7 linked regions of the Mus musculus genome follow. The protein of the gene in region 1 purifies or fractionates together with the protein of each later gene. This does not show direct contact. Links are inferred from orthologs where the notes say so. Each region holds a gene or a part of one and is shown in the gene's direction. Other genes may lie near its edges. The genes, in order: G3bp1, Atxn2l, Tardbp, Hdac6, Trim21, Stau1 and Ubap2l.

The links.
Region 2: the proteins of G3bp1 (region 1) and Atxn2l purify together in Homo sapiens (affinity purification with mass spectrometry; 4 studies listed by BioGRID and IntAct, with this or other methods). This does not show direct contact. The link is inferred for Mus musculus from reciprocal best matches to the Homo sapiens genes G3BP1 and ATXN2L.
Region 3: the proteins of G3bp1 (region 1) and Tardbp purify together in Homo sapiens (affinity purification with mass spectrometry; 3 studies listed by BioGRID, with this or other methods). This does not show direct contact. The link is inferred for Mus musculus from reciprocal best matches to the Homo sapiens genes G3BP1 and TARDBP.
Region 4: the proteins of G3bp1 (region 1) and Hdac6 purify together in Homo sapiens (affinity purification with western blotting; 4 studies listed by BioGRID, with this or other methods). This does not show direct contact. The link is inferred for Mus musculus from reciprocal best matches to the Homo sapiens genes G3BP1 and HDAC6.
Region 5: the proteins of G3bp1 (region 1) and Trim21 purify together in Homo sapiens (affinity purification with mass spectrometry; 3 studies listed by BioGRID, with this or other methods). This does not show direct contact. The link is inferred for Mus musculus from reciprocal best matches to the Homo sapiens genes G3BP1 and TRIM21.
Region 6: the proteins of G3bp1 (region 1) and Stau1 purify together in Homo sapiens (affinity purification with mass spectrometry; 3 studies listed by BioGRID and IntAct, with this or other methods). This does not show direct contact. The link is inferred for Mus musculus from reciprocal best matches to the Homo sapiens genes G3BP1 and STAU1.
Region 7: the proteins of G3bp1 (region 1) and Ubap2l purify together in Homo sapiens (affinity purification with western blotting; 6 studies listed by BioGRID and IntAct, with this or other methods). This does not show direct contact. The link is inferred for Mus musculus from reciprocal best matches to the Homo sapiens genes G3BP1 and UBAP2L.

What each region holds. Positions count from the first base shown.
Region 1 is NC_000077.6:55,486,730-55,490,582, forward strand, and holds part of G3bp1 (ras GTPase-activating protein-binding protein 1), read left to right. Parts: intron 1-388; exon of another isoform or gene 389-749; coding exon 750-831; intron 832-2,289; coding exon 2,290-2,463; intron 2,464-3,853. UniProt on the Homo sapiens protein: Protein involved in various processes, such as stress granule formation and innate immunity. Plays an essential role in stress granule formation.
Region 2 is NC_000073.6:126,493,323-126,497,175, reverse strand, and holds part of Atxn2l (ataxin-2-like protein), read left to right. Parts: intron 1-529; coding exon of another isoform or gene 530-547; coding exon 548-739; intron 740-815; coding exon 816-887; intron 888-1,284; coding exon 1,285-1,355; intron 1,356-1,520; coding exon 1,521-1,816; intron 1,817-1,906; coding exon 1,907-1,976; intron 1,977-2,452; coding exon 2,453-2,599; intron 2,600-2,683; coding exon 2,684-2,756; intron 2,757-2,846; coding exon 2,847-3,037; intron 3,038-3,285; coding exon 3,286-3,415; intron 3,416-3,501; coding exon 3,502-3,623; intron 3,624-3,799; coding exon 3,800-3,853. UniProt on the Homo sapiens protein: Involved in the regulation of stress granule and P-body formation.
Region 3 is NC_000070.6:148,624,121-148,628,529, reverse strand, and holds the start of Tardbp (TAR DNA-binding protein 43), read left to right. Parts: upstream 1-1,533; 5' UTR 1,534-1,849; intron 1,850-3,153; 5' UTR 3,154-3,167; coding exon 3,168-3,405; intron 3,406-4,409. UniProt on the Homo sapiens protein: RNA-binding protein that is involved in various steps of RNA biogenesis and processing.
Region 4 is NC_000086.7:7,934,187-7,938,039, reverse strand, and holds part of Hdac6 (histone deacetylase 6), read left to right. Parts: intron 1-28; coding exon 29-197; intron 198-284; coding exon 285-413; intron 414-567; coding exon 568-736; intron 737-964; coding exon 965-1,098; intron 1,099-1,589; coding exon 1,590-1,658; intron 1,659-1,777; coding exon 1,778-1,970; intron 1,971-3,718; coding exon 3,719-3,853.
Region 5 is NC_000073.6:102,562,444-102,566,823, reverse strand, and holds the start of Trim21 (E3 ubiquitin-protein ligase TRIM21), read left to right. Parts: upstream 1-1,341; 5' UTR 1,342-1,435; intron 1,436-2,483; 5' UTR 2,484-2,552; intron 2,553-2,698; 5' UTR 2,699-2,734; coding exon 2,735-3,130; intron 3,131-3,462; coding exon 3,463-3,558; intron 3,559-4,380. UniProt on the Homo sapiens protein: E3 ubiquitin-protein ligase whose activity is dependent on E2 enzymes, UBE2D1, UBE2D2, UBE2E1 and UBE2E2.
Region 6 is NC_000068.7:166,961,696-166,965,548, reverse strand, and holds part of Stau1 (double-stranded RNA-binding protein Staufen homolog 1), read left to right. Parts: intron 1-831; 5' UTR 832-890; coding exon 891-970; intron 971-1,954; coding exon 1,955-2,120; intron 2,121-3,853. UniProt on the Homo sapiens protein: Binds double-stranded RNA (regardless of the sequence) and tubulin.
Region 7 is NC_000069.6:90,017,925-90,021,777, reverse strand, and holds part of Ubap2l (ubiquitin-associated protein 2-like), read left to right. Parts: intron 1-261; coding exon 262-539; intron 540-708; coding exon 709-881; intron 882-2,436; coding exon 2,437-2,626; intron 2,627-3,309; coding exon 3,310-3,364; intron 3,365-3,853. UniProt on the Homo sapiens protein: Recruits the ubiquitination machinery to RNA polymerase II for polyubiquitination, removal and degradation, when the transcription-coupled nucleotide excision repair (TC-NER) machinery fails to resolve DNA damage.

The sequences.
Region 1 (3,853 bases):
ACACCTTTAATTCCTGCACTCAGGAGCCAGAAGTAGGTGGATCTCTGTGAGTTCCAGGCCAGCCTGGTCTACAGAATGAGTTCCAGGACAACCAGGGCTACACAGAAAACCTGTCTTGAAAAAAAAGAAAAGTAGCAAGTTAGTGTGCTTTGGTAAGGTAGATGGAAGCAGGATACAGATCCACAGCGCTAGCATGGGCTCTCTTAAGGGTTTATGGAGTTGTCCTTAGATGTCTTCAGTGGTCTTTGGTTGGCATTTTGCTGTTAAAGAACATCTCTCTGATGTTCTTTTAATGAAAATGGTGATTGAGTGCATAGATGAGAGAGGGCTAAAGGGATAAATATTTATACCACCTGTGCACAGGACAACTGTCCCACTGCCTTCTCAGGTGGGAAGGCACCGACTCTTCAGGTCCGTGACAGGGCAGCTGTCTGTCCTCAGTGGAAACAGGAACTTGACTTTGATTTTAAGTGCCTGACTTTGCTGACAAACTCCAAGGCCCTTCCCAACATGATCATCCTACCTACCCTGAAACTTGGAAGTCGGGACTTGAAAACCACACACATGCCTCATGCCTCATTGACTGAGACTGTCCCCACTCGGGCGTGTGCAATGGACTTGTCGTGCACAAACATAAACAGTCCCCGCTGTGAGTCTGCCAGTGAGGCGGATAGGTACCAAGCCTGAACACTAAGTACCTGCACTCCGGGTCCTTGAAGATGAGAAGTAAATTGCCTTCTCTTGTACAGATTTTATGGAAAGAACTCTTCCTATGCCCACGGGGGCTTGGATTCCAACGGGAAGCCAGCAGATGCAGTCTACGGGCAGAAGGTGGGTGCTGTGGACCAGTAGCAGCAAAGAAGGCAGCTCCCTGCCTACTGGGAAGCTGGTACCTAGGGGTGGGTTTCTGTTTAATTCTTTGGTTTGCTGAACACTCTGTGTGTTGTCAGGTTACTTTGATTCTGTGTTAGATTGCTGGCTTCAGCAGAAGAGTGCCATGTTTAAACTTAAAAGGTGTGTATTCAAGGCACTTATTTGATTATTTTATTTTATTTTATTTTATTTTATTTTATTGGTTTTTCGAGACAGGGTTTCTCTGTATAGCTCTGGCTGTCCTGGAACTCACTTTGTAGACCAGGCTGGCCTCAAACTCAGAAATCAGCCTGCCTCTGCCTCCCGAGTGCTGGGATTAAAGGCGTGTGCCCGGCTAATTATTTTATTTTTTGAGACATGATTCAAGTTTTTTGCTATTCTGGAACTTGCTATGTATGTCTGGATATTCCCCTGACTCAGTTTCTCAAGTGCTTAGATTACATATAAAAGTGGCAGGACAGTTGTTTTTAAGGCGCTAAGCTGTGATCACTGGAACTACAGCACACACCCACTGACAGCTGGACTATATTATAACAGTAATACATGTATTCTCTATATGCTGTGTTGGACATTTTTATTTTTTAAAATTTGTTTACAGATGTATTTATGTGTGTGAGTGTTTTGCTAGCATCCATGTCTGCACCATGTGTGTGCTGAGTCCCTGAGGAGGCCGGAAGAGAGCTTTGGATCCTTAGGAGCTGGATGCTGGGAACTGAGCTTAGGTCCTCTCCAGCTCTGAAGTGTTCACATATATTGGTTTGTGGGTGAGTGTGACTGAGTGGTATGCTTGTGGAGGTCAGAGGATACCTTGTCAGGAGTTCTTTGCTTCCACCGTATAGGCCCCAAAGATAACATTCTGGATTATCAGGCCCTATAGCAGGTGCCCTTACCTGCTAAGCCACCTGGGATTTATTTTTTTAACTAGATTTTTGTGTTACTTTATTGTCTCATTGTTGAGACAAATACCTGACAGAAGCAACTTAGGCAGGATGCAGGGCATTCAGGCTCACAGTCCACGTGAGAAAGGCGAGGTAGTAGGGACACAAGGTGAATGCTGGTGCTCAGGTCCCCTTTTGTACAGCACAAAGGTCTCGCCTGTGCAATGCTGCTGTCCCAGCAGAGTGTTTCCTAGGTGATTCTAGGTCTTGTCACGCTGAGTGGAGATGAGCTGGTGTGAGCGTAGCAGGTCTCTGCCCTTCAGTGTACTTGTTGTATAGCTCTTCAGATTGCTTGGAGACTGCTCAACCACTGTGCGAAGGAGCAGGAGGAAGCAGGGCTGAGTGTCAAGTACACATCTGTGAGAAAACAGGGCGGAGCTTGGAGGATCTGCCAGTCTGTTCTTGGTGCTGGCAACTGCTGTTTTAGTTTCTGAACTGGTGAGTTCCTGGGGGATTGACTCTTGCCTCCATTCCTCAGGAAATCCACAGGAAAGTGATGTCACAAAACTTCACCAACTGCCACACCAAGATCCGCCACGTGGATGCTCACGCAACTCTGAATGACGGGGTGGTGGTCCAAGTGATGGGGCTACTGTCCAACAACAACCAGGCTCTGCGGAGGTTCATGCAGACCTTTGTCCTTGCTCCTGAGGTATGTTGCTCTGTAGTGATGGAGTACTTAAAGACTAAAAGCTGTGTGGAGTCCAGATTCCTGGCAGCTCAGGGTTATAGGTATGGCTGCAGGGTAGAGCTGCTCTGTCCTCTTGTCCTAAAGCTGTGGTGCCCTCACTGTAATCTTCAGGAAGATGACTGTTGGGAGGAGCCTCCCCTAAACTGTTGAAATGCAGGAGACTTCGTGTCCCTTCGGCTGGCATCACCTAAGGACAAGGGATCTGTTTCCTAATCACCCTGTTGTCACCACATTTAGAGAACAGTGCTCGGTATATATATAGCTCATGCGGTAACCATGCCTGAGTTTCAGAAAGTAGCTGGCCTTGTCTTGCATAGTTTGTTTTTCTTGATCTGGGATTCTGTATGTAGTTCTCTGTTGTGTTTGTCTGGCCGTGTGTCTTGTTCCCTGTCATTGTAGTCCCTCCCTCCTCTGGTTTGCTTGGCATCGACAGTTCTGAAGAGCAGTCCTGTGTCATTGTCCACGCATCATATACCTTCCTCACTCATCCTTAGTGACCATGGTACTAGAAGTGTCTCTGGTTCCCCTAGGTGATATGTTCAGGTCTTGCCATTGTAAAGTCACATAGTTGTTGTATCTGGTTTATAAATTGTGACTAATCTTGGGATCCTGTATAAACGTGCTGCTCTTTATCAGTTTTGCATACCATAATTCTTTTTCATTTGAGGTTCTTGGCTGAATGGTGACAGATGGGAATGTCTGATACTATCCACCACTCTTGTGTTCATTTATTGGCATTATCTTATAAGGATCCCCTTACCCTACCATTCATTTCTAGTATATTTACTGAGTTATGATTCATTAATAATTGTTTAACATATCCTCATGTCCTGGGTCTTGTTAGTGGGAACCCTTCATGCTGGCCTGTTTTGGTGTGGGCATGGCATGCATGGTTTATGTCCTTGTGTTGACCCTGGCCCTGATCAAGCCCCACTAGCTGATGGTTCCATTCATGATGCTTGTCTGTAGTTGGGTTTCTGAAGGTACCACAGGTGGATGATGAGGGATGGCATCTGCTGTGCCTTCTCCAGAGAGAAGGGCAAGAAAGCTGCATAGATACGGAATCAGCTCATACGGGCTTCATCTGAAAAATTTTATTTAGGATAGTATTTTGTCTTTTTTTTCCTCCAGAGCTGAGGACTGAACCCAGTGCCTTGCACTTGCTAGGCAAGTGCTCTACCACTGAGCTAAATCCCCAAGCCCTTAGGATAGTAAAATACTATCCCTGTCTTAAAAAAAAAACAAGCCCATTTGGATGTTTCTGTTTTGACATAGAACTGCATTATGTAGCTCAGATTGTCCTGGACATCACAGTGACGTCCTGTGTCAGTCATCCTCATTAGTGCTGGAA
Region 2 (3,853 bases), on another chromosome or scaffold:
AAATGCTGGGCGGTAGTTTGTAGATGCTTGGTGTCGGGCAGGGTCTTGGATTTTATCATTCCAGTTTTTTTTTGTTGTTTTGTTTTTGTCTTTTTCAAGTCAGAGTTTCTCTGTGTAGCCCTGGCTGTCCTGGAACTCTGTAGGCCAGGCTGACTGGCCTTGAACTTAAGAGGTACAGCTACCTCTGCCTCCCAAGTGCTGGGGTTAAAGACATTCAGCTGGATTTAATGTAATCTTTTTGAGAAAGAACTCTAGTTTTCTTTGGTTCTAACATGTCAGTTTATGGGTTGTAGCTGGTTATCAGGTGTTTTGTTGAGACTTTTTTTTTTAACCAGCATTTTAGAACAGGAGAAGTTATACCACTTCCAGTCTTTTTGAACTACCCAGAGAAACCATTGCCTTTGTGTTACTTACCTGCCCTGGGCTTAACACAGGAAATTGTGCCTCTAGGTGAAAAAAAGCTTGTAAATTTTCTATGGGTTTTCCCCCTATATGCACTACTTCCTGGCCAGCAATAACTATCGTGTAGCTCTCCCTTTTCTTCCAGTGGGCCGGATGTACCCTCCACGGTCTCCCAAGTCTGCTGCCCCTGCCCCAGTCTCAGCTTCCTGTCCTGAGCCTCCCATTGGTTCGGCAGTGGCGTCCTCTGCCTCCATCCCTGTGACATCATCAGTTGTGGATCCTGGTGCAGGCTCTATTTCCCCGGCATCTCCAAAACTCTCCCTGACCCCTACAGATGGTGAGAACCGGTTGTAAATGCTGGAGAACTGTGGGTATGACTTGAGAGCAGGATCTAATTGCCTCTTTTTCTTCAGTAAAAGAACTCCCAACCAAGGAGCCCAGTAGGAATTTGGAAGCCCAAGAACTGGCCCGCATAGCTGGGAAAGGTGAGGGCAACTTTACTCTGTAGTCCCATTTACTCGAGGGAGCGTTTCCCTTTGGAAGCAGTGTAGTGTCCATTTGCCCTTCGATTTCATTTATCTGTTTGTTTGTTTGTTTAAGATTTATTTTATGTATATGAATACAGACACACCTGAAGAGGGCATTGGATCCCATTACAGATGGTTGTGAGCCACCATGTGGTTGCTGGGATTTGAACTCCGGACCTCTGGAAGAGCAGTCAGTGCTCTTAACTGCTGAGCCATCTCTCCAGCCCTCGTTTATCTTTTAAGATTCTTAACAGCTCATTCTTTGGTTTCTTATTTCTGGATTACTAACTAGCCCTGTGTGACTCCTCAGAGGGGGAAAAAAACGTATTTTCTCATTTCTCTGTTTTTTTCTCAGTCCCTGGCCTTCAGAATGAACAAAAACGATTTCAGTTGGAAGAACTGAGAAAATTTGGGGCCCAGTTTAAGGTGAGTGAAGCATGGGAAGGAGCTGGGATTTAAGCTGTGGGAGCTGTGGGATGTGTAAGGCACAGGCAAAGTGAATGGGAGCGATGAGTTCAGCAAGAGTGAATGGAGGAGGTAAAAGCCCGGGTCTGGAGTGCACACTGTAATATGTGAATTATTTCTTCTCAGCTTCAACCTAGTAGCTCCCCTGAGACGGGCCTGGATCCATTTCCTTCCCGGATCTTGAAAGAAGAGGCCAAAGGAAAGGAGAAAGAGGTGGATGGTCTATTGACTTCAGATCCTATGGGATCCCCAGTCTCCTCTAAGACAGAATCCATATTGGATAAGGAAGACAAAGTGCCCATGGCAGGAGTAGGAGGGACTGAGGGGCCAGAGCAGCTCCCAGCACCTTGTCCCAGCCAAACCGGCAGTCCTCCAGTGGGCCTCATCAAGGGGGATGAGAAAGAGGAGGGCCCTGTTACTGAGTAAGTAGTGCTAGTGGTGGGTGGTGTGAAGATCTTTGGTGCTTACCCGCTGGGGAAGGGCACGACTCAGTTGGTTTACATTCTCTACAGACAAGTGAAGAAGTCTACTTTGAACCCCAACGCCAAGGAGTTCAATCCAACAAAACCTCTGCTGTCTGTGGTAAGCTGGGACTATTTCTTGTAGACTTGGGTCTCCTTGAGGGGACAGTAGAGCAGTACTCCAGGAGAGGACTTGACTGTCAGGATAGCGTGCTGTCCCATAGTGTGAGATGGCACTGTCAGTCTGGGCAGGAGCAGTTAGTTGGACTGCTTTGGGAAAAACAGTGACATCTCCAGGGCTGAGTGATGAAGGCTGCTTATTGATTCTGACAAGTTACTTTAGGTCTTACTATTTGGTGTGTTGGGTGTGTGAGGGTTAGGATTATGAGCTCCAAGGAATCAGCTGACGTGGCTTTAACTGATGTACTCATGGGGCTTCGAGATTTCACACAACCACTTAGAGCTCTCTTAGTTTGTGAATGTCCATCTTGTGATTTGCTATGAAGCGCTTAGGGAAAGTGTAGGATATATTTGACACAGGTGGATTTAAAAAGGCTGAAGTGGGATTACAGAAATATCTCCTCTTGTCTCTTACAGAACAAATCTACCAGTACTCCAACTTCACCAGGGCCCCGTACTCATTCAACACCTTCTATACCGGTGCTGACAGCAGGCCAGAGTGGGCTCTACAGTCCCCAGTACATCTCATATATACCTCAGATCCACATGGGACCAGCTGTACAGGTAGGAGAGAGTGAGCCCAAGAAAAGTGCTGATTGTCCAGCTCAGGCTGTTCTGAGCACCTGCTGAGCCCCAGATCTTTCTCAGGCGCCTCAGATGTATCCATATCCTGTATCCAATTCCGTGCCTGGGCAGCAGGGCAAGTACCGGGGTGCAAAAGGTGAGCAGGGTTGGGAAGAAGAGCTGGGACTGCCTAGTACCTTTTGGCTAACGCTGCTTGAGCTTTGTACTGTTTACTCTCCACCCACAGGCTCACTTCCTCCTCAGCGCTCTGACCAACACCAACCAGCCTCAGCCCCTCCAATGATGCAGGCTGCTGCTGCTGCTGCTGGCCCACCCCTGGTGGCTGCCACACCCTATTCCTCCTACATCCCCTACAACCCACAGCAGTTCCCAGGCCAGCCTGCCATGATGCAGCCCATGGCACACTACCCTTCACAGGTAACGAACACCTGAAATCCAACCTGATGGGGGGAAGCAGGGTTATTTTGAGTAGTGGTGGCTGTGGGGTTGGCAGTGTCCACTTGAATTCCTGTAACAGGACATTGAACCTTTGCTCTCGGGTTTTCCCTCTGAATTAAGGTGGTTACTGTCTTTAAAACCACTACTGAGGCTCATGCTCCTATGCACATGGAAGCTGACAGGACGTTCCAAGCAGGTCTGCTTAGCATTTTGTTTTGTTTCTTTAGCCGGTGTTCGCCCCTATGCTTCAAAGTAATCCACGAATGTTGACATCGGGAAGCCATCCCCAGGCCATCGTGTCGTCCTCCACTCCTCAGTACCCTGCTGCAGAGCAGCCTACCCCCCAAGCCCTCTATGGTGAGTTGTGGTGCCCACTTTGTCACCAGGATATATGTATCCATTTGGTGTGCTCAGCACTCGGTCTCCCTTCTTTCCTGCTGCAGCCACTGTTCACCAATCCTATCCACACCATGCCACGCAGCTCCATGGCCACCAGCCGCAGCCGGCCACCACACCTACTGGGAGCCAGCCACAATCCCAGCATGCGGCCCCCAGTCCCGTTCAGGTGCCTGAATGTGGGGTTTGGTTGGGAGGTCTGAGTGGTTGACCCAGGAATGGGTGGCTGGAAGAGGGCTTGAAAAGAGCTGGGTCATTCTCCAGTAGAGAAGTGGCATGAGCGAGCTTGTGCTTTGTCTGCATAGCAGAATGGGTGGCACTCATACCTCACTTCTACTCTGGCAGCACCAGGCGGGGCAGGCCCCTCACCTGGGCAGTGGACAGCCACAGCAGAATCTG
Region 3 (4,409 bases), on another chromosome or scaffold:
GAGTTCCACGACAGCCAGGGCTACACAGAGAAACCTTTTCTCGAAAAACCAAAAAAAAAAAAAAAAAAAAAAAAAAAAATCAAAAAAAAAAAATGCAATCATCCTTTTAAACTACTGTTAAAGTTCTTGACTTTTCCAGGCATGGTAGCACAGGTCTGTAATCCCGGACAGTCAGGAGGCCAGGCCCAGGCTCTGCTGTATGAAACCTTGTCTTAGGAGACAAACAAAAAACCATTTTGGTGACTCACACCTGTAATCCCAACACTGAAGGCGCAGATTCAGGAAAGGCATAGCAAATCTGAGGCCAGCCTGGTCTACACAGTAAGTTCTAAGCCAGCCAAAGACTACGCAGAAATCCTGTTTTGTTTGTTTGTTTGTTAAGTTCAAAACCAAAAAGTAAATAATGCTGGGTGGAAGGACTCATGCCTATAATCCCAGCACTCAGATGGTTGAGGCAGGAGGACAGGCCAGGAGTTCCTGGCCAGCCTGGGCTCTAATGGAAGTTAGGGGCTAGACATTAACATCTGTTCTTCCAATGCCATCTTCTTACAAGGTAGCTGTGAGGAGGAAATGAATTCATTTATAAACTTAAAGTGGGAAGGCTTGGCCTGATGGTGATCTGCAATCCTACCCCATTCCTCCCAGAAGGGAGGCAGAGGCAGGAGGAACCCAGCAAGCTCAAGGCCAGCCTGTTCTGTACAGCAAGACCCAGTTTCAGTAAATAAAGCAACTGTGTAAAACCTTTGTGCCTAAGCTTTGAATCTGATACACCAAGAAATTCCAACCCTGAGTAAAGAGTCTACATCTGCTGCTTGGTGGTAGAGCTAGCCTTCAGCCTTTTTAAAGTTATACTAGGACTCGTCAACTGGAACCGAAATACTGAAACATCCAAGTAGTTTTTTGCTGTAGGATTCAGACCCTAGTGGGGCCTCTTTCTCATGGTGACTTCATGCAAGGTACTCAACTCTGTGCCTCAGTTTCTTCACTTATTGAAAGAGGAGAGAGTATCACGACTATCGTGTAGACTGCTAGGGCAGCATCCACACTTGGCAGCCTTGATGAGTTAAAGGACAGCCTGGGCTACACAGTGACTTTGAGATCCCTGTCTCTAAAACAGTATCTGATGGCTAAGCCCAAGGTCAATGGGAAGACACTTGCCTGCCATTCACAAGATTCTGGTTTGTTTTTCTCCCCCTAGAGCCAGAGAGTGCTAAAAGGTACTTGATACAAAATAGTACTTAGAACAGGGACCATTTTGCAGATCAAAGTTAATGTTTCCACGTTGGAAATTAACGAGCAAAGGCAGAAGACATTTAAGAGTCGCCTTTAGACTAGGAACCCAGGGTTCCCAGGGATTCCCCCCCAAGCCCTTACGCGTTCAGTCGCAGGCTCCGCCCCCTTTCCCTCCTAGCCCCGCCCCTGCCGCCCCAGTCCCGGCCTGCGCTAGTCTCGCGCATTCTCGGCGCGCGCGAGCTCCTCGACTAGGGCCGGCCGTTGGTCAGGCGAAGCCATCTACCGCGTTACGTAGGGGGACTCGGAAGGCCGAGTGGCCGTTCTGTCCTTCATCTGTCAGTTTTTCAGACCCAGCTGTTTTCATTGTTGCGTTTCTTTACTTTTTTCTATACGCCGAAGAGCCTGCTAGCATCCGAGCCTCTGGGAGGAGAGAGCGCCTGTGGCTTCCCTCGGAGAGCGCCCCTCCTGCAGGGAAGCCAGTGGGAGAGGCCGAAGGCGGGCGAGGGCGGGAGGCGGCCCTAGCGCCATTTTGTGGGCACGGAGCGGTAGCGCGGCTGTTGTCGGATTCCTTCCCGTCTGTGCTTCCTCCTTGTGCTTCCTAGCAGTGGCCTAGCGGGTAGGTTGGTCGCCAAGGCCGGCCTGCGTGCCTCGAGTGTTGCTTCGGAGAGGCCCGGTGCGGCCTGCGCCGCGGGGAGGGAGCGGTAGAGCGGGGCCTGGTTGGCCTCGCGCAGCCGCGTCGTTAAGGCCTAAGCGCGGGCAGTAGCCGGAGCGGGACGCCGGGCCTCTGCTTGGCTGTGAAGCCACGGGCGGAAGTGTGTGGCCGCCCCGGGTTTCCAGGCGTCCTAGTCCCTGTAGATTGTCGCTTTTGAGAATAACTGTTGTCACCATGGGACTTGGACCTCCGCGGGCCCCACCCTGGGCCCAGTTGAAAGGGGGGGAAAATCATCAACGTTGTCTGTCGCGCACGGCCTTCTGGGAAGCGGCGGCCTACCTCCCGGAGTAGCCGTCGTTGCTCCCTCGACGCCTAACTTTAGCCAGACCTTTCCGAGGATGAGCACCAGAACTGCTAGATAACTGTTCTGATGTCGGTGTTCGTGCTCCACCAGCACAGGGAGGGTTCCTCAGATCCCAATGCTTGGCTGGTTTTTTCCACGTTAAAGCACGTGCTAAACCCGATTCAGGTCCAGGCTATAGAAGAAACTTAATTCAGAATGGTTACGAAATACGGTAGCCTGTAATCTGTGCGCTCCAGGTAAGAAATGACGAGTGCAAGAAAAAAAATCGGGGCAGATACTTAGTTCTTTAACACCTTGTTTTTGTCTGGCTTTGTAGCCAACGGGCCACATGGTAACACTGTTGCCATTTTAGCACCGGAAGCTTATAGTGTGCGCTGAGAAAATAGAACTGGCGGGCAGAGCGCCACATGAACACCGGTTTTCCCTGTGGCTGCCCCGGAACTCAGTAGACTAGGCCAGCCTCGAACTCAAAAAGATCTGCCTGCCTCAAGAGTGCTGAGATTAAAGGCGTGGGTTATCGTGCTCGACAAAAATCACATTTTTTTTTAAAGATTTATTTTATTAATATATGTAAGTACACTGTAGCTGTCTTCAGACACTCCAGAAGAGGGAGTCAGATCTTGTTGCGGATGGTTGTGAGCCACCATGTGGTTGCTGGGATTTGAACTCTGGACCTTCTGAAGAGCAGTCGGGTGCTCTTACCCACTGAGCCATCTCAACAGCCCCCAAAATCACATTTTTATTTTAGAAAATACCTTTTCTCTATTTTTTTTTCAGGGATGGCAAAAGAAACATTTTAGGTAGCAGGAATCTTTTCAGGAAGTGGGAATAAAGTGGTGTGATAATAGCCAATTATGAAAAGATAACTCCTCTGATTTTCTTGCTCATTTCTTTTTCCTTTAAGAGATTTAAGCAAAGATGTCTGAATATATTCGGGTAACAGAAGATGAGAACGATGAACCCATTGAAATACCATCAGAAGACGATGGGACGGTGTTGCTGTCCACAGTTACAGCCCAGTTTCCAGGGGCATGCGGCCTGCGCTACCGGAATCCCGTGTCTCAGTGTATGAGAGGAGTCCGACTGGTGGAAGGAATTCTGCATGCCCCAGATGCTGGCTGGGGCAATCTGGTATATGTTGTCAACTATCCCAAAGGTTTGTTAATCATTTTGGTTTTGCTGTATTGCTGGCCATGGTTAGACTTCCGTGCCATCTTAATTTAAGTGAGACTATAATATCCAGGGCTTCATGTGTGCTGGGAGAATAGTCTATTGTTGAGCTCCAACTTGAGGGTTTGGTCGTTATGGAGGAATGTTTCCTATGACCCTAACTTTTTCATAAACTTTGTTTAGACTTAGACTACTCTGGCAGGTCAGCAGTTTAAGTAAATGGAAATTGAAAAGCAGGATTCTTTTTTTGAGGAGCATGAATTTAAATGTGAAGCTGGCAGAACATGGTCATTGCTAATTTTAGGTGGTGAAACCTAAATGCCTTAAAGATGCATCTGTTTTGTAAAAGAATTTGGCTTTTTGAAACGGGGTTTTTCAGTCTTTTGGGTTGTTTTGTTTTTGGTTTTGTTTTGTTTTTTCTCTCTTCCCCTTCCCGAGACAGGGTTTCTCTGTATAGCCCTGACTGTCCTGGAACTCACCCTGTAGATCAGGCTGGCCTCGAACTCAGAAATCCACCTGCCTCTGCCTCCCAAGTGCTAGGTTTGAAGGTGTGCACCACCACTGCCCAGCTTTTCCTTGCAGCCTCAAAAATCATCTTTGTCTCATCGTTTTTTGGATTTTCGAGACAGGGTTTCTCTGTGTGTCGTCCTGGCGTATCATCCTTTTAAGATTTGTGTTTTATTAAAGATTTATATCTTATGTGTTATTAATGTTTTGTATGTGTGTCTCTACACTGTGTGTGCACCTGGTGCAAAAGGGCATTCAACCTTCTGAAACTAAAACTGTATGGTTGTGAGCTGCTGCGTGGGTGCTGACACCCAAACCCTGATCTCAGAAGACCGAAAACACGACAGATGCTTTTAACGCCAGTGTTCTTACTCCATCTCTTCTTTTTCCCTCCTCAAAAAATACCAACTGCGCTAGCCCAAGTCTTGAGTTAGGGCAGAGCTACCTGAGATTTTTCTCCCTCTCTTACTATGGACGTTCTTG
Region 4 (3,853 bases), on another chromosome or scaffold:
TAAGGTGATCTGAGTACCCCCTTTTCAGTTGAGACCCAGGAGGAAGATGAAGTGGAAGAAGCCGTGCTAGAAGAGGAGGAGGAGGAAGGTGGCTGGGAGGCCACTGCACTGCCCATGGATACATGGCCACTGCTCCAGAACCGCACTGGGCTGGTCTATGATGAGAAGATGATGAGTCACTGCAACCTCTGGGACAAGTGTGTGCTCAGAGGGCTGGGGTGGGTGGTGTTTGGGTCACTCTCCTCAGTCACTAAACCCTTGGCTCTGCTTCTCCACACTGTTAGTCATCACCCTGAGACACCTCAGCGCATCTTACGCATCATGTGTCACCTGGAGGAGGTGGGCCTTGCGGCTCGCTGTCTCATCCTACCTGCTCGGCCTGCCCTGGACTCTGAGCTCCTTACCTGCCACAGGTCAGACCCCGTGCTGGGGGGAGGCCGGCTGTAGGATTCTAGGGATGTTCCAGGAGTAGGGCCTAGGGCTCTCCAAGATGGGTGGAGCCACCTAGACAGGTTCAAGTTCTTATGTGAGGACAAGCTGGCGACTCTTGTTCCTCTGCATCACCAGTGCTGAGTACGTGGAGCATCTCCGCACCACAGAAAAGATGAAAACCCGGGATCTGCACCGTGAAGGTGCCAACTTTGACTCCATCTACATCTGCCCCAGCACCTTTGCCTGCGCAAAGCTTGCCACAGGCGCTGCCTGCCGCCTGGTGGAAGCTGTGCTCTCGGGAGAGGTGCGTCTTCTCTGTGTGCTAGTGAAGTTTAGCTGAAGAAATGAGGTCCTGGGAACATAGAGAGGGACTACCTGCTCCCACTCAGGAGGCCAGAGGCAATAGGAGAGTCTGCTGGGAGGGGAACCACGGAGTGGATGGCCGAGTGGATGGCGGACAGGAGAAAGGGAAGCCTGGGAAAGATGAAAAGAGAGTGAGGGCCAGAGGCAGTCTCGCTGCTCCTCCCTACAGGTTCTAAATGGCATTGCAGTAGTGCGCCCTCCAGGACACCACGCGGAGCCAAATGCTGCCTGTGGTTTCTGCTTTTTCAACTCAGTAGCTGTAGCTGCTCGCCATGCCCAGATCATTGCTGGACGTGCCCTGCGGTAAGGCCTGCCCCCCCAGAGACCCCCAAAACCCGATCTTTGCAGGGATCTGGCTACTCTTTCCATTCAGTCTTACTTGGCAGACCCATGGTCACCCCTGGGAGCTTACACAGAAACAAGCAAAGGTCCACTGGGCAGCACTTGACTACAAAAGCCCCAGGACGGGTGTGTTAAGTGCCATGGCATCTAGATGCTTAATAAACTAGGATCCAGGGTATCACACCAGCATTCCTGAACAGGTTATCCCAACAGAACCCATGCCTGGGCTCCTAGCATTAGAAGAGTCCCTAGCCTTAATTACTTGTTCAGGTCCATAGTTCAGGAAGCCAAGGTTGGACCTTCATTCTTAGAATAATAGCAGTGCTTTCTCATTAACTCCATGGTCCTGTTGCCCAGCAACAAGTGCTTCCAAAGACCCTAGAAATCTAGCAGTGGCCCACTCCTAGGCCTTACTGTCCCAAGGTGCTAAAAAGGGCTATCTCCCTCCCCAGGATCCTAATCGTGGATTGGGATGTTCATCATGGTAATGGAACTCAGCACATATTTGAGGATGACCCTAGGTGAGTGATGGGACTGTGGGTAAGAGTATGGTGTGAGAGGATGCTGAAGCATCCTGCAGGGATGTTCATAGCCTCTAACCTGCTGTGGCCCCTTTCTCATCCCACCCTCTCCCTGGCAGTGTATTATACGTGTCCCTGCACCGGTATGACCGTGGCACTTTCTTCCCCATGGGGGATGAGGGTGCCAGTAGCCAAGTAGGCCGAGATGCAGGTATAGGCTTCACTGTCAATGTGCCCTGGAATGGGCCCCGCATGGGTGATGCTGATTACCTGGCTGCATGGCATCGTCTGGTACTTCCCATCGCCTATGAGGTAAGGCTCAGGTTATTATATAACATTGCTGTATCTGGCAGCACACATCTGCCTCCTTGACGTGTGTTTTGACTACCAGGTGACTAATCCTATGATGGCTATTGGGACAGGGTGGTGGGGATGGCCTTATGTATCTGTCTGCCTATGCATATATGGGTGCCTGTGAGTGGCCTATCTCTGTGACATTTTACACGTAAACAACTGTCTTGGCTCTGTGTATATATGCATGTGTGTGCCTTCTGATTCTGTCTGCTCTTCTGAGTGCATGGCTGTAAGGGTATCCCTAAGAGATACTGTTGTGGAATTGTGTAGAATAGAAGCATAAGATTAAATACATTATGGATATGTCTATGTAATGTTATATAGTGGCTGTCATCTCCTTTCTGTGTGTGATAAGTGTGATAGTGTATGTCATTAAATGCTGCTGTCTTGTGATAGCCTAAGAAAGACTCTGAATATGGAAGGCCGTAGTGACATTGTCACCCACACCCGTCTAACTGGGTCCACGTGTCTATATATGAATCTCGCTGGCTGCTTTGACTCAGGGGTGACCTAGCTGTGTGTGAGCTAAGGACAGGGCCAATGGCGTGTGTGTGTGTGTGTGTGTGTGTGTGTGTGTGTGTGTGTGTGTGTGATAATGCACTGAGGACACAACTCTGCAAGCCTGAACATCGGGCTCTGCTTTTACATCTGCATGCATGTGACTATGCACAGGCGACAGAGGCTACCCTTTATGTGTATGTGTAACTGCATGCAAGCGATAGCCTGCTGTGGGCATTGTAACTGTGCATCTTTGTGACTGTGCAGGGGTGGCTGTGTATTATCGTCCCATGAGAAACCCAAGCGTAAGTGGTGGGATTTGCAGCCCTATCAATATGAACCTGTCTGGTTGGGAGTGGAAGTGTATGACACTTTTATTTGTCTATAGTCTGTGTATAAAAGCCTGTATCATGTGAATGTGGGTCCCGTATTTGACCCTTGTATGTGAGAGAGAGGTTATGTCTCTGTTTCTCTTGTCACTATCTCCTGCCTTCCAAGTCTCCATGTTCTTTCTGTGAGCCATATCTATGTCATAACTCTATATCTTGCCTTCTGTCAACTTAGAGTATCTCCCAAGAGATTTTTGCCCATATATGTGTGTGTGTGTGTGTGTGTGTGTGTGTGTGTGTGTGTGTGTACCACATGTCTGCTTCATGACTGTGGAAGCCAGAAAAGGGAATCTGATCCCCTGGGACTGGAGTGAGACAGTTGTGAGCTGCCATATAGGTGCTAGGAATTGAACCCTAGTCCTGTTTCCACAGCCAGCGCTCTTAACAGCTGAGCCATCTCTCCAGCCTCTCTCCCAGTGTCTTGAGTTTCTGGCGGGTATACTCTTGTCTCTTTCCAGGCCTGCCATGTCTTGTTTCTCCTTGTGTCCCTGTCTTCCACTCCTGCTTTTCAGATGTCAGGTTTCTCTCCCTCCCTCCCTCCCTCCCTCCCTCCCTCCCTCCCTCCCTCCCTCCCTCCCTCCCTCCCTCTCTCTCTCTCTCTCTCTCTCTCTCTCTCTCTCTCTCTCTCTTTGGTTTTTCGAGACAGGGTTTCTCTTTATAGCCCTATAGCCCTAGCTGTCCTGGAACTCACTGTAGATGTTGGGTCTCACATCATCTGGGTTTTGACTTGAATTCGGATGCCTTCGTTTGCCCTTGCTCCTCCCATCACTTATTGCCTCCTCAAGCCTCAGGGCATCTTCTCTTCTCTCCTTACTGCAGTTTAACCCAGAACTGGTGCTGATCTCAGCTGGCTTTGATGCTGCACAAGGGGATCCGCTGGGGGGCTGCCAAGTAACACCGGAGGGTTATGCCCACCTCACCCACCTACTGATGGGCCTTGCTGGTGGCCGTATT
Region 5 (4,380 bases), on another chromosome or scaffold:
CTGTCCTGGACAAAATGTACTTGCATATCACCAGGGACAACTTGGGTTGCCAATACACACTCAAGTTAGTAGAGAATATGATTAAAACCCAAAGTATAAACATCTCACTTCACCAACACACTAATAATGTGCTAGACAATAATATCAATAGCATTAATTCTTCCCAAATAAAGACTTGGGTCATTTTGTCAGGGAGAGGGAAGTTTGAAATATCAAAGTACTATCTGTGAGTGAAGGGAGTTTGGGTCTTCAGTAGGTGGGGTCTTCAAACAATTACCAAGGTGGGAGCTGAGGCAGCTCTGAGTACAATATGTTAGTAGTCCTGTGTGCACATTATAGAGTATATATCAGCACACCCCTAGGGTGTGCATTAATCTCTCTATCCAGTGTGTAAACTGAAACAGAGCATCCTCTGGTGGTGAATAGCAAAATAGACATTGACTCTACCCTCTGCCTTATTTTGGGACCCAAGTTCTTTGCCTGCAGGAAATAGCAGCAGACCTTCCGTGGTAGAAGCAGAGTCGTTTTCTGATGTTTATAGATGTCTTCGTCCTTTCGGATGCTTGACTCTTTTTCATTCTGCTTTCTAGGACTGTTGTGCTCCAGGAACCAAGCCCCAGTACAACAGCACAATCTAGACAGTAGATGTTGCCTGGCGGCCTTTCACTAAGAGAGATCTCTTAAACAGGACTAGAAATTTCAAATCACAGAATGGTTTTGTTTCCTAAATATAATAAATAGCGAGGAAAATTCCACTGCTGTTTTTAGCGCAAGTTATAATACAATATCAATTGTCCATAAGTCTTAACTCCCTTCACTGGTACAACACATACCTTGACATCATAAAGAATAAATTTCTAGCCCCAAACTATTTGAAAAGAGCAAAATCACACAACAGAGTGGTGGGAAATGGGTATACTTCAAGTACTCTGTACAATTAATATATACTAATAAAAAACAGTGACGGTGGCGGGATCAGTCTTGGGGGAAGCTATCCATCCCTGTAGGAAACAGATGGTGACTCCTCCCTCTCCCATTCAGACCTCTTCTCTCAGAAGCTCCCAGGTAAGAAGAAAAGACCAGTGTCAAAGATCGATATCCTGTAGATTACATTCTGTTAAAGGGGACAAGGGGGCCTTAGAGAGACCCAGGAGGACAGGTACTGAGTTTTTTCCCTGCCTGTGGCCAGGAGTCAGTTTCTTGCACCTCTGACCTCTCTCCTCCCACTCTCTGCCCTGTCTCTGCCCAGTCTCCGCCCAGCCTCCGCCTTCTCTGCCTCTAACCTCCTCTTGCCACTCAACTCCTCACTCCTCCCCTTGCTCCTCCCTCTTCCTGCTAGACCTGCCTCTGAGAGGAAACTGAAAGTGAAATTTGGACTGCAGGCTTGCAAAAGCGAAGCTGGGAGCACATAACTAAAGCTGAGGACCCTGGTTAGGTGAGTGAGACTGGGACCCCTGGCCGGCCTAGGTGGGCTCTTTATCCCCACACCAGATTCAAGGAGCCTCTTCCCATCAGCACCCCACACTCGGGAATTTGCGAACCCACCTGCTGCTTCTTTTCATCAGAGTTGTCTTGTCCTAGCCCTGCAGAGCTGCCCATGCTGGCCTGTGGAAGCTGGGCTCTGAAAGTGACTTTCCTAGTGCCCTGGACTAGCTGAGACGACAGTCCTAGCAAGGGCAGGAGAAGCAGGGTGGTGACCTAGGCCAGAGGGGAGCTCAGGGAAACCCTTACCCCTTGAAGATCCCTGCTTGAGGAGAGTGCTATCCATGTAGAAATTTCTGTGGATTTAAGATACTCCACACCCTAAAGGAAGTTGAGACTAGGTTTGGAGCAGCTTAGAGAAGAGCCCAGGGAGTGCTCCCCAAAAATGTTCACCGGTGAGCACACCTGCATGTTATGTACATAGACATTTATAGAGGGGAACATATGGGCACGCCTACATTGATGCATTTGTGCACAAGTATAGTTTGCATATAAAAACATCAATATATGTGTACATACATATATAAAAACATGCATATACACACATGCAACTCTTATAACTGGGCCATATACTCTTAGACAATGTACTCCGGATAATGAATGACATCTTACATGAACCTGAGTGGGGTCGCTAATGACACACCTAGGCTGCATTGTGTTGCCTATTGCACAACCACCATATGTGCAGCCTGTCATATTTGACAAAATGTCTACTATGATGTATAGCTGCATAAACCTTGACTCCTAATGCCTGACCCCTGTGGTTTCTGCCAAGATTAATGAAGACTAGTATGAGCTAACTCTGGTTGGAATATGGAGGGTCTGTGGTGATATGGTAAATGGTCGTTACTGCCATGACTGACGTCTCTGGGCAGTAGAGGCATAAGATGACAGAAAGGAAATGGGAGACGCCTAGACAGTGAGGGTTAAGCAGGGATGGGTGTGGTGACGGTGGAGCTGTTAGCAGCGTTACCCCCACCAGTTTTCTCTGTCTCTTCTAGAAACTCGGTTTCCCCTTCTGCCTGGCTTGCTCAGTGGGTGAGGCCGGAGGAGAGGCTCCTGTCATTCAGGTTGGTGCTTTTGCCTTCTGCCTTTCCCTCCTGTGTCATCGCTTGTCCACCTTGGCATTATTTGGGGGAGTTTGGGGTTTGCCTTGCTTTTGCTTTTGTCCTACAAACTCTCATTTTTATCTCTTCGCCCCTCTGCATCTCTCAAGATTCCACGGCAGATATCACCCTCTACAACCTCAAAAATGTCTCTGGAAAAGATGTGGGAGGAGGTCACCTGTTCTATCTGCCTGGATCCCATGGTGGAGCCTATGAGTATCGAATGTGGCCATTGCTTTTGCAAGGAATGCATTTTTGAAGTTGGGAAGAATGGGGGCAGTTCATGTCCCGAGTGCCGGCAACAGTTTCTGCTCCGAAACCTCAGGCCCAATAGACATATAGCCAACATGGTGGAAAACCTTAAACAGATAGCCCAGAATACCAAGAAGAGTACCCAGGAAACGCACTGCATGAAGCATGGAGAGAAGCTTCACCTATTCTGTGAGGAAGATGGGCAGGCCCTTTGCTGGGTGTGTGCCCAGTCTGGGAAACACCGGGACCACACCAGGGTCCCTATTGAAGAGGCTGCTAAGGTATACCAGGTAAGGCCTTAGCACAGACTAAAGAACATAGCCACTTTGTCCCCCAGAATGGTGGCTGAGAAGTTGGGGGATGAAGGGATAATTTCTCCCTTCATTGAGAGGAGCTTGTGTATGGAATACAACTTTATTTCTCAGCAGCAGAGGCAAAGCCATGGGAAAGGAGTCATGCATCGTGCTTCCTCGTGGCTCCCGGGTACATTAGAAATGCAGTGGCCCAGATCCCGTTACCCATTGGTGTAACTCTGTTTTTGTTAAGACATACTAGATTTCTTCCATAGTCTTTCCATCTGCCTCCTCCAACCTGGGGACTAACCTGCCATCTTTTTCTACAGGAGAAGATCCACGTGGCTTTAGAAAAACTGAGAAAGGGGAAAGAGTTGGCCGAGAAGATGGAAATGGATCTCACGATGCAAAGAACAGACTGGAAGGCAAGAGCTGTAGGCTGGGCTGTGTCCCAGGTCTTGACCTCAAGCAAGCCTTAACCATGACTGTGCCTATCCAAGGGGCGGTAGAGTTATTATATAGGTCACTCTCCAAGACCCATCCACACACTGTGACTCCAGATAGAGAGGAATTGAAAGAAAGGAAGGAAGAGAGGAGAAGGAAAGAGAGAAGGAAAGGAAGGAGGGAGGGATAGAAGAGAGTCAGGGATGAAGGGAGGCAGAAGGGAGGGAGGGAAGAGGAAAGAAGGAAGCTTAAAATCAGATGGGATTTTCCCCAATCTGGCACAAATATCAAGAATTTCTGGAGAAAGTTTAAGGTTTCGTCATTCCTTCTGACCCTGTCTCAGGGAACAGCATAGTCAACATTAGTTTCTTGGGTCTGTGATAGGAAGTCCACCTGACCTGGTGGCTGCTTGATGGTGAGCAAGTTATTAGTCCAAAGCCTGCTAGGGACCTAAAGCCTGTCACAGTGAGAATTTGCTGGTAGAAAATGAAATGCATCTGAAACTGGGTAGGAATGAGAGGCTCACAGCCAATCACAGACCCCAAATGAGTAGCAAAAACTTGACCCTCCCAAGATGGCAAAGACTGTTTTCCTGGGACCACTGCTTTCCACCCAGGGTATCAATGGGTATGGGAACAGGTCTTATGCTCTACAACTTGCTGAGATAGTAAGACAGAGGAACTCACATGGGCGTTAGTAGCTTTTGGAAGAAAGGTTGAGAAAATATCTGGTGCCGGAAGCATGCGTAGGTGGGGGGGGGGGGGGTCTAGGGGACAGACACCACCCAAGCTTAGGAAATTTTT
Region 6 (3,853 bases), on another chromosome or scaffold:
AGAGCAGGGCTGACTGAAGCGAGCAGAGGTACTAAATTGAATTCCCAACAACCACATGAAGGCTCACAACCATTTGTACAACTACAGTATACTCATATTCATAAAATAAATCTTTTTTTAAAATGTGGGTTATGCCATGACAATAATCTTTCGAGCTGTTTTGGTTTGTGAAGGTTTGTGAATTAGATGACCTAAGAGAGCAAATTAGAAGATGAGTAGTGTGTGTATTTCTGTGAGTGTGTATACACATGTGTGCAGATGTGTGTGCTGTGTATAGAGTTCAGAAGACAGCACTGGGATTTCTCATGAAATTTTCCACCTATTCCTTAGAGGTAGGACCTCTTCCTAAAATGTGGGCTCATGTTTTCTCAGCTAGGTTGGAAGACAGCAGTCCTGTTAGAGCCGGGGTAGCAGACATGTGTGGGACCTTGCTGTGTCAATGTAGGGATCTGAATTCTAGTCTTTATGATTAGACAGCAAGTGCTCTTACTGCTGAGCCCTATCTCCAGTCTTAGTCTGTATTTTCTCAAGTCATCAATTCTGAGGTTAAAGTTCCCTGTTGATGTATATGAAAATGAAACTGGGTTTCCTGTCATCTGTGACCATGGTTCAGCCCCACTGTAATGTTAGGTTGGAGATATCTGGATGTTTTCTGGTCCTCATTTGCCTCCTCTAGACATCCACTTCCCTCAACTTACCCAGGTTTTTCCCGTGATTCTGTACACTGTGTGGATTCTTGGATTTCCTGATGGATGTCCAGGGGTAGAGTGCTTGGCTGTTAGCATCAGTGTCCAGGGCCTGAACCATCCTTTGTATGATTTTGTGTTGCAGAAAGTATAGCTTCTACCATTGAGCTCAATGCACTGTGTGTGAAACTGGAAAGAAAACCAATGTATAAGCCCGTGGACCCTCACTCTCGGATGCAGTCCACCTACAGCTATGGCATGCGTGGAGGTGCCTATCCCCCCAGGTATGTGCTTGGGGTGGAATTAGTTGGGTTTTTCCCTAAAGTAGTCTCTATGAATTGTGAATGATTTGGTCTGCCTCAGGTTCACCTCTGGACTTAAGGTGTGCCTTTGGTACTGTGCTGGGACTGTTGAAGCCTACTGCCTTTGCAGAGGGCCCAAGCAGGTTGCTCAGGAGCAGCTGCATTCACACCCATGGTCTGGCTACGTTGTTTCCTCAGCACATGCTCCTGAAAGTCTTCTCTGACATTGTGCTTTGTGCAACGCTGAGACTAAGTAATAGTGCTCAGAAGGGTCAGAGCCTAAAGTGGCTGCAGATGGCCTATAACCCTAGAGTTCCAGAGGTGGAAGCAGAAAGAGTATCTGCTAAGTAGAAGCCAGGCCAGCCTGGGCTACATAAACTCTTGTTGTATGTTCAAACCTTTGCTTCAGGAGTGAGACATTAGTGAACAGATCAGTGATGGAGGCAGCTGTTTCATTTTCCACCCATCCTCTGATGAGGTGCAGGAGGGCAAAACCTCAAAAATACAGGTTTTGAAGTAGAAGGAACCAGACTCTTTTGGACTTGGTGCTGCTGAGATTTCCAAAATGAGGGTCATTTCCAAAAGACGTCACCCTTAAAATTCCCAGACTCTTTGAGAGATGTGCAAGTGCACACTGAAGGCTTGAGAAAGGAAAGCAAGCTAAGTTTGTCTCGGCCAGCACCTGCGTTCATTCAGGCACTGTCAGTATGGCCTATTGTGGAGCATCAGATGCGTACATAGCATGTGTCAGCTACTAGAGTAAGTGTGACTCTAGCGCTCTGCTTAGTCACAGTGTGGCAGCTGTAGATCATATGAGTTTTAGGGCAGCTTTTGTAGAGCTGACCAGGAGGTCTTTCTAGCTATGAGCACGGTGACAAGGCCAGAGTACACAAAGAGTGGGGTTTGCTGAAGAAAGTATGGCTGACTTAGGAGATGGAGACTGAGACCCTACCCTTGTGTTTGTAGATACTTTTACCCATTTCCAGTCCCACCTTTACTCTACCAAGTTGAGCTCTCCGTGGGCGGACAGCAGTTTAATGGGAAAGGAAAGATGAGACCACCCGTGAAACACGATGCCCCTGCCCGTGCGCTGAGGACTCTGCAGAGTGAACCCCTGCCAGAAAGGTTGGAGGTAAGGTGGACGCGAGCTTGAGACACCTCACTGACTTCCAAGGTGCTGCTGCTGTCTGTACTACTGGGTAATTAATCCAGATTCTGTCACTGGGAAAGTGTCCCCTAAATGTCTCAGCAGGAAAGCAAATGGCCTTTCCTTTTCCCCTGGCAATGGAGTGTAGAGCACATGGTGGGTGTGGGAAGGCCGGGGCTCTTGAGTTGTGAGTGTCGGATTCTCAGTGCTGACACCTATGCTCTTGGAGCTGCTGATTGGTGTTCTTTTTGTTTTTTGTTTTTCCTGTGTAGCTCTGGCTGGCCTAAACTCACAATGTAAACCAAACTGGCCTTGAACTCACAGAGCTCTGCCTGCCTTTGCCTCTTGAGTGCTGAAATCAAACCTGTGAGCCACCACGCCCAGCTAGAAGCCATGATTTGTGGTGCTAAATTAAGAGTATTTGTGACCTTCAGCCCACCACCATTTTCTGTAGAAATGCTTTTAGTCTTTTGTTAGCACGTTATCCTAGAACATGGTGCATGTATTTTACTCAAAGATCTGCAGCTTGAGCAGGGCTAGATGTGGCGGCTTGCTGGCAGAGGAAGCTCACCAGGACGTCACCAGCTTGGGAGGACTTAGTAGAAAAATGGCTCCTCCTGACAGGGCACCGTAGTTTCTGGGTAGTGTCCCTCTTACAGGGGCTGTTGGTACCTCCTCACAGTTTGGTGACTGCATCTCAAGAATGAGAATCCTTATAGACAGGAAAAGGAAGCCAGTTATTAAAGCCAATTCTCTGAACCCACAGCCTGGCTTCTGTCATGGTTTCTAGGTTAGGCAGTCCCAGAGCTAAAGGAAGGAGATAAGGAGACTCACCTTTGTGTGTTCTTTTATTAAAGACCACATTAGATGAACTCTCAACTCTAGTACAAGCATTATCCAGTGGCTTCTAGGGCACTCACAGTGTGGAAAAGAAGGTGTTGAAGAATTTGGAACTTTTTGTTTGTTTTAGCTACTGCTAAAGGTTAATGCTAATATTATTAGCCATGGGTTGTGATTTAAAACTACAGGGTAGAAAAGGAATCTTACAGGTTTTTTTGTGTTTGTTTGTTTTTTTTTTTTTGTTTTCCTGTGCCTGGAGAGTAAGTAATTTTTAAAAAAAAAATTTATTTATTTATTTTATGCATATGAGTACACTGAAGCTGTACAGATGGTTGTGAGCCTTCATGTGGTTGTTGGGAATTGAATTTTAGGACTTCTGCTCACTCTGGCCCAAAGATTGATTTATTATTATAAGTAAGTACACTGTAGCTGTCTTCAGACACACCAGAAGAGGGCGTCAGATCCCATTACAGATGGCTGTGAGCCACCATGTGGTTGCTGGGATTTGAACTCAGGACCTCTGGAAGAGCAGTCAGTGCTCTTAATCACTGAGCCATCTCTCCAGCCTGAGTAAGTAATTCCTAGGATGACTGTTGGTAGTTGCTTGACCAGCTTCATGCCAGTGAGAGACTTATCTCCAGGGTGGATGCAGCCTATGGATGGCACCAGCTGGCATGGCTCCCTCATAGACAGTCAAATTTCAAACCAAACTTTGTAGGTCTTCAGCTTTCTAAGGCACTTGGAGGGAAGATTAGCTTTAAGAACTAGCCAAGGAAAGCAGCCATGCAGCCATAAGGGACAGGGAGAGGTGGCTGTTTAGGAGGCTGAGGTAGCACTGTCCCTTGGGTCCAGCTTGGGCAGGGCGGCAAGCACATGAA
Region 7 (3,853 bases), on another chromosome or scaffold:
AATAAATACTTGTTTGTTTTTAAGAAAATGCCCTAAAGACTTGCCAACAATCAGAGACATTTTCTCAACTGAGGTTCTTCCCAAATAACTCTAGCTTGTGTCAAGTAAACAAATTTATGTGGCAAGAATCTTTATGCACTGAGAGCCATTTTGCTAGCTGGAGTTCTTGAATCTTGAAGGTCTTATTACTAGTATTAGTATAGGACATTTCCTTGGAATGTATCAATGTCACTGGCTCATAACTTGTGTTTCTTCTTGCAGATCTGAAGAGTGCAAATGATTCAACAGTGCACAGTCCTTTTACAAAGCGCCAGGCATTCACCCCATCTTCAACCATGATGGAGGTATTCCTTCAGGAGAAGCCACCTGCAGTGGCTACCTCGACAGCTGCACCACCTCCCCCGTCTTCTCCTCTGCCAAGCAAATCCACCTCGGCTCCACAGATGTCTCCGGGGTCTTCAGACAACCAGTCCTCCAGCCCTCAGCCGGCTCAGCAGAAACTGAAACAGCAAAAGAAGAAAACCTCCTTGACGTCTAAGGTACTTGAGCTTCTTAGGGAGATGCTGTTTTAAGGCAGGGAGGTTATGGTATTTCAGGATGAGATAGTCTAAGGGTTTATTTGGAAATTTAAACTTGAAAGGAATAATTTTATTTCTACAAAAAGATTGTATTAAACGTTTACATATTTTTTTCCTACCTTTTTCATAGATTCCTGCTCTGGCTGTGGAGATGCCTGGCTCAGCAGATATCTCAGGGCTAAATCTACAGTTTGGGGCATTGCAGTTTGGGTCAGAGCCTGTCCTTTCTGATTATGAGTCCACCCCCACCACGAGCGCCTCCTCAAGCCAGGCTCCTAGTAGCCTGTATACCAGCACGGCCAGGTAGAGGAATCATCACCCAGAAGACCTCTTTTGGTAGCTTAGTTTTGTGCTTACTTCTTCTCCTCTGGAGAGGCCATATTTCTGACTGGATAAAAGTAGTCAATCATAGCATTTTGTTGTGTGCTTTTAAAGAAATACGTTGTTACTAGGATTATCTATGATTTAAAACATTTAGATAAATGCCATTTAGATACTTCTAGAATGTCTTAAGCTCAGTTTGTTTGTTTGTTTTGTTTTGTTTGTATGTGCAGACATACACGTGCATCTGGAGGCCCGGGGTCAATATCAGGTGTCTTTCTCAAAAATCACTCTCTACTTCATTTTCTGAATCAGCATCTCTCACTGAACCTGGAGCTCACTAGACCAATTTGGATAGCCAATAAGCTCCACGAAACTTATTGTCTCCATTTCCCCAGTGTACTAAGATCATAAATGTCTTCTTCCCAGATTTTATGTAGGTGTTCAGTATCAGTTCATGCCTTCATTGTTACATGGCTAATGCTGTACTAACTGAGCCATCTCCCTAGCTTCTCAAGGTTTGTTTGATTCTGACGGTACCTTGACATCTCCTGCAGTGAAAAGTGCTTTATTTGTTGTGGGACTATGTTTGTGAAAAGTAAAAATAGGAACTCAGTAAAAACATTAAAATTAAAAAAAAAAAAAGCCATAAAAATAAATGAACCTTTTCTGTCTTCTGGTAGTTACCAAGGAAAGCCATCTTATGCATAGATAATCAATTTTTCCTTAATGAGGTATCTGGCTTTAGTCTAGATCAGATTAGTTGAGTCATAATTGCCACTGATGCCTAAAAAGATTTTATATAAAAAAAATTTTTTTCTGGACTGTTGTGGCTCATGGGAGTAGGGGAAATGTGTGAGATGAGAGCAAATGCTGTGTTACAGAAACTAGTGATAATCTGCTATTGAAATAAAACCATTTCGGGTAAGAAACTTCAGAAAGACAGGCTGGGCGTGCTGGTACCCCAGTCCTAGCACTCAGGAGGTTCAAAGCCAGCCAGGGCTAGTGACAACCTCCCCCAAAGGGAAATGCTGGAGAAATGACCTGGTGGTTAAGTTCCTTGTTGACCATGTACACAACTTGATTTTCAGAATCCACATGATACATAGGCATACATGTGAACAAAACACTGGTATACATTAAATCTTAAATTTTTTGTTTTGTTTTTTGATTTTTCAAGACAGACTTTCACTGTGTAGCCCTGACTGTCCTAAACCTCATTCTGTAGGCCTCCATTCAGGCATCTGCCTGCCTCCCAAGTGCTGGAATGAAAGGTGTGCACCACCACTGCCAAGAGTTTCTTTGAAGCATAATTCAAAAAATGTTTTCCCCACTCTGGGAAATTCTACCAGTGATGAAACTGATCAATAGATGATTTTTCTTGTGCCAGGGTTTCATGGTGTGATGTGGAGGGGTGCATTGAGTTCTTTACTCTCCCAAGTGCCTGATTTTTAAACATTTCTCCTTGTTAATTAATTGACAGTATTTTATTCCAATAGACGATCATCATTTCCTAAGACATTTTTCTTTTCCACAGTGAGTCTTCATCTACAGTTTCATCTAATCAGAGTCAGGAGTCTGGTTATCAGAGTGGCCCGATTCAGTCGACAACTTATACCTCCCAAAATAATGCTCAGGGCCCTCTATATGAACAGAGATCCACACAGACGCGGCGGTATCCCAGCTCCATCTCTTCATCACCCCAAAAGGACCTGACTCAGGCTAAGGTAGTAGTTTAATGATTCCCTGGGCCTTGGTTAGCAAAGTAGTGGGTAAAAGTCCCTCTAATATAGTTTCACTTTTCTGGAAATGGTGCTACAGTCTTGGAGGTGCCAACTGAGATGCTGACAAAAGCACATTTCTGTGATTGGTAAACTAAACATTATTTTCAGCAAATGTGGAGGACCCTCAAGATTCAGAACATTTCTCTTTGCAATAAAGATTTGTTGGTTATGGCAAAAACTGTCTCAAATACCTGTCCTTTCCTCATAGAAGATCAGATTGCTAACCTTCGGGGTGCATATATATTAGTAAATCTACGTTACTCTGGTAAAAGGGATAACATATACCTAAGATGGTCTGAAGTACCTGTCTAGCAGGATGGGTCCTAAGAATTGTTTTATTTTAAACTATTTGGTGGGGGTAGTGGCTGTGTGCATATGAGTGCTGGTACCCTAAGAAGCCAGAGACATCAGAATCCCTGGAGTGGAGTTACAGGTGGTTGTGAGCTGTCTAATATATGCGATAGGAATTGAACTCAGGTGCTCTTTGTGTGTAATCCATGCTTTTAACTGTTGAGCCATCTTTCCAGGTTCCCTAAAATATATTTGACCAAAATTAAATTAAGTGACTGATAACATCTCTCTTACAAGCTTGTCTGTTCTTGCTTTTTTTTTTTTCTCCTCTCCAGAATGGTTTTAGCTCTGTGCAGGCCACGCAGTTACAGACCACGCAATCTGTTGAAGGTAAGCATTTTCCAGGCTTTTTCTTCTTGGTTTTAGTGGCTTTCCTCAACATTGATGTAGAGTTGTTCGTTTTTTTGGAAGGTAGGAAGGACCCTGTTGTGTAGACCAAGCTGGCCTCAAATTCACAAGAGATTTGCCCACTTCTGCCTCCCAAGTGTTGAAATTAAAGACATGTGCCACTGTGCTCAGCTGTGTGTGTGTGTACACAGTAGTCAGCTTTTAACTTCTCTATCTTCTGAGGTCTTTTTGTTTTGCTTTGTTTTATGTGTATGGGCATTGGCCTGTGTGAGTGTCTATGTACCAAGTATGTGCCCAGGGTCAGATACCCTGAAACTGGTTGCAGATACCATGTGGATTGTTGGAAATCTGGGTCCTCTGGAAGAATTGAGTGCTCTTAACTGCTGAGCCATCTGTCTAGGCCCATATCTTTTTTTTTTTTTTAAACATATTTTTAAGTGTGTTGGTGTTTTTCCTGAATTTATATCTATA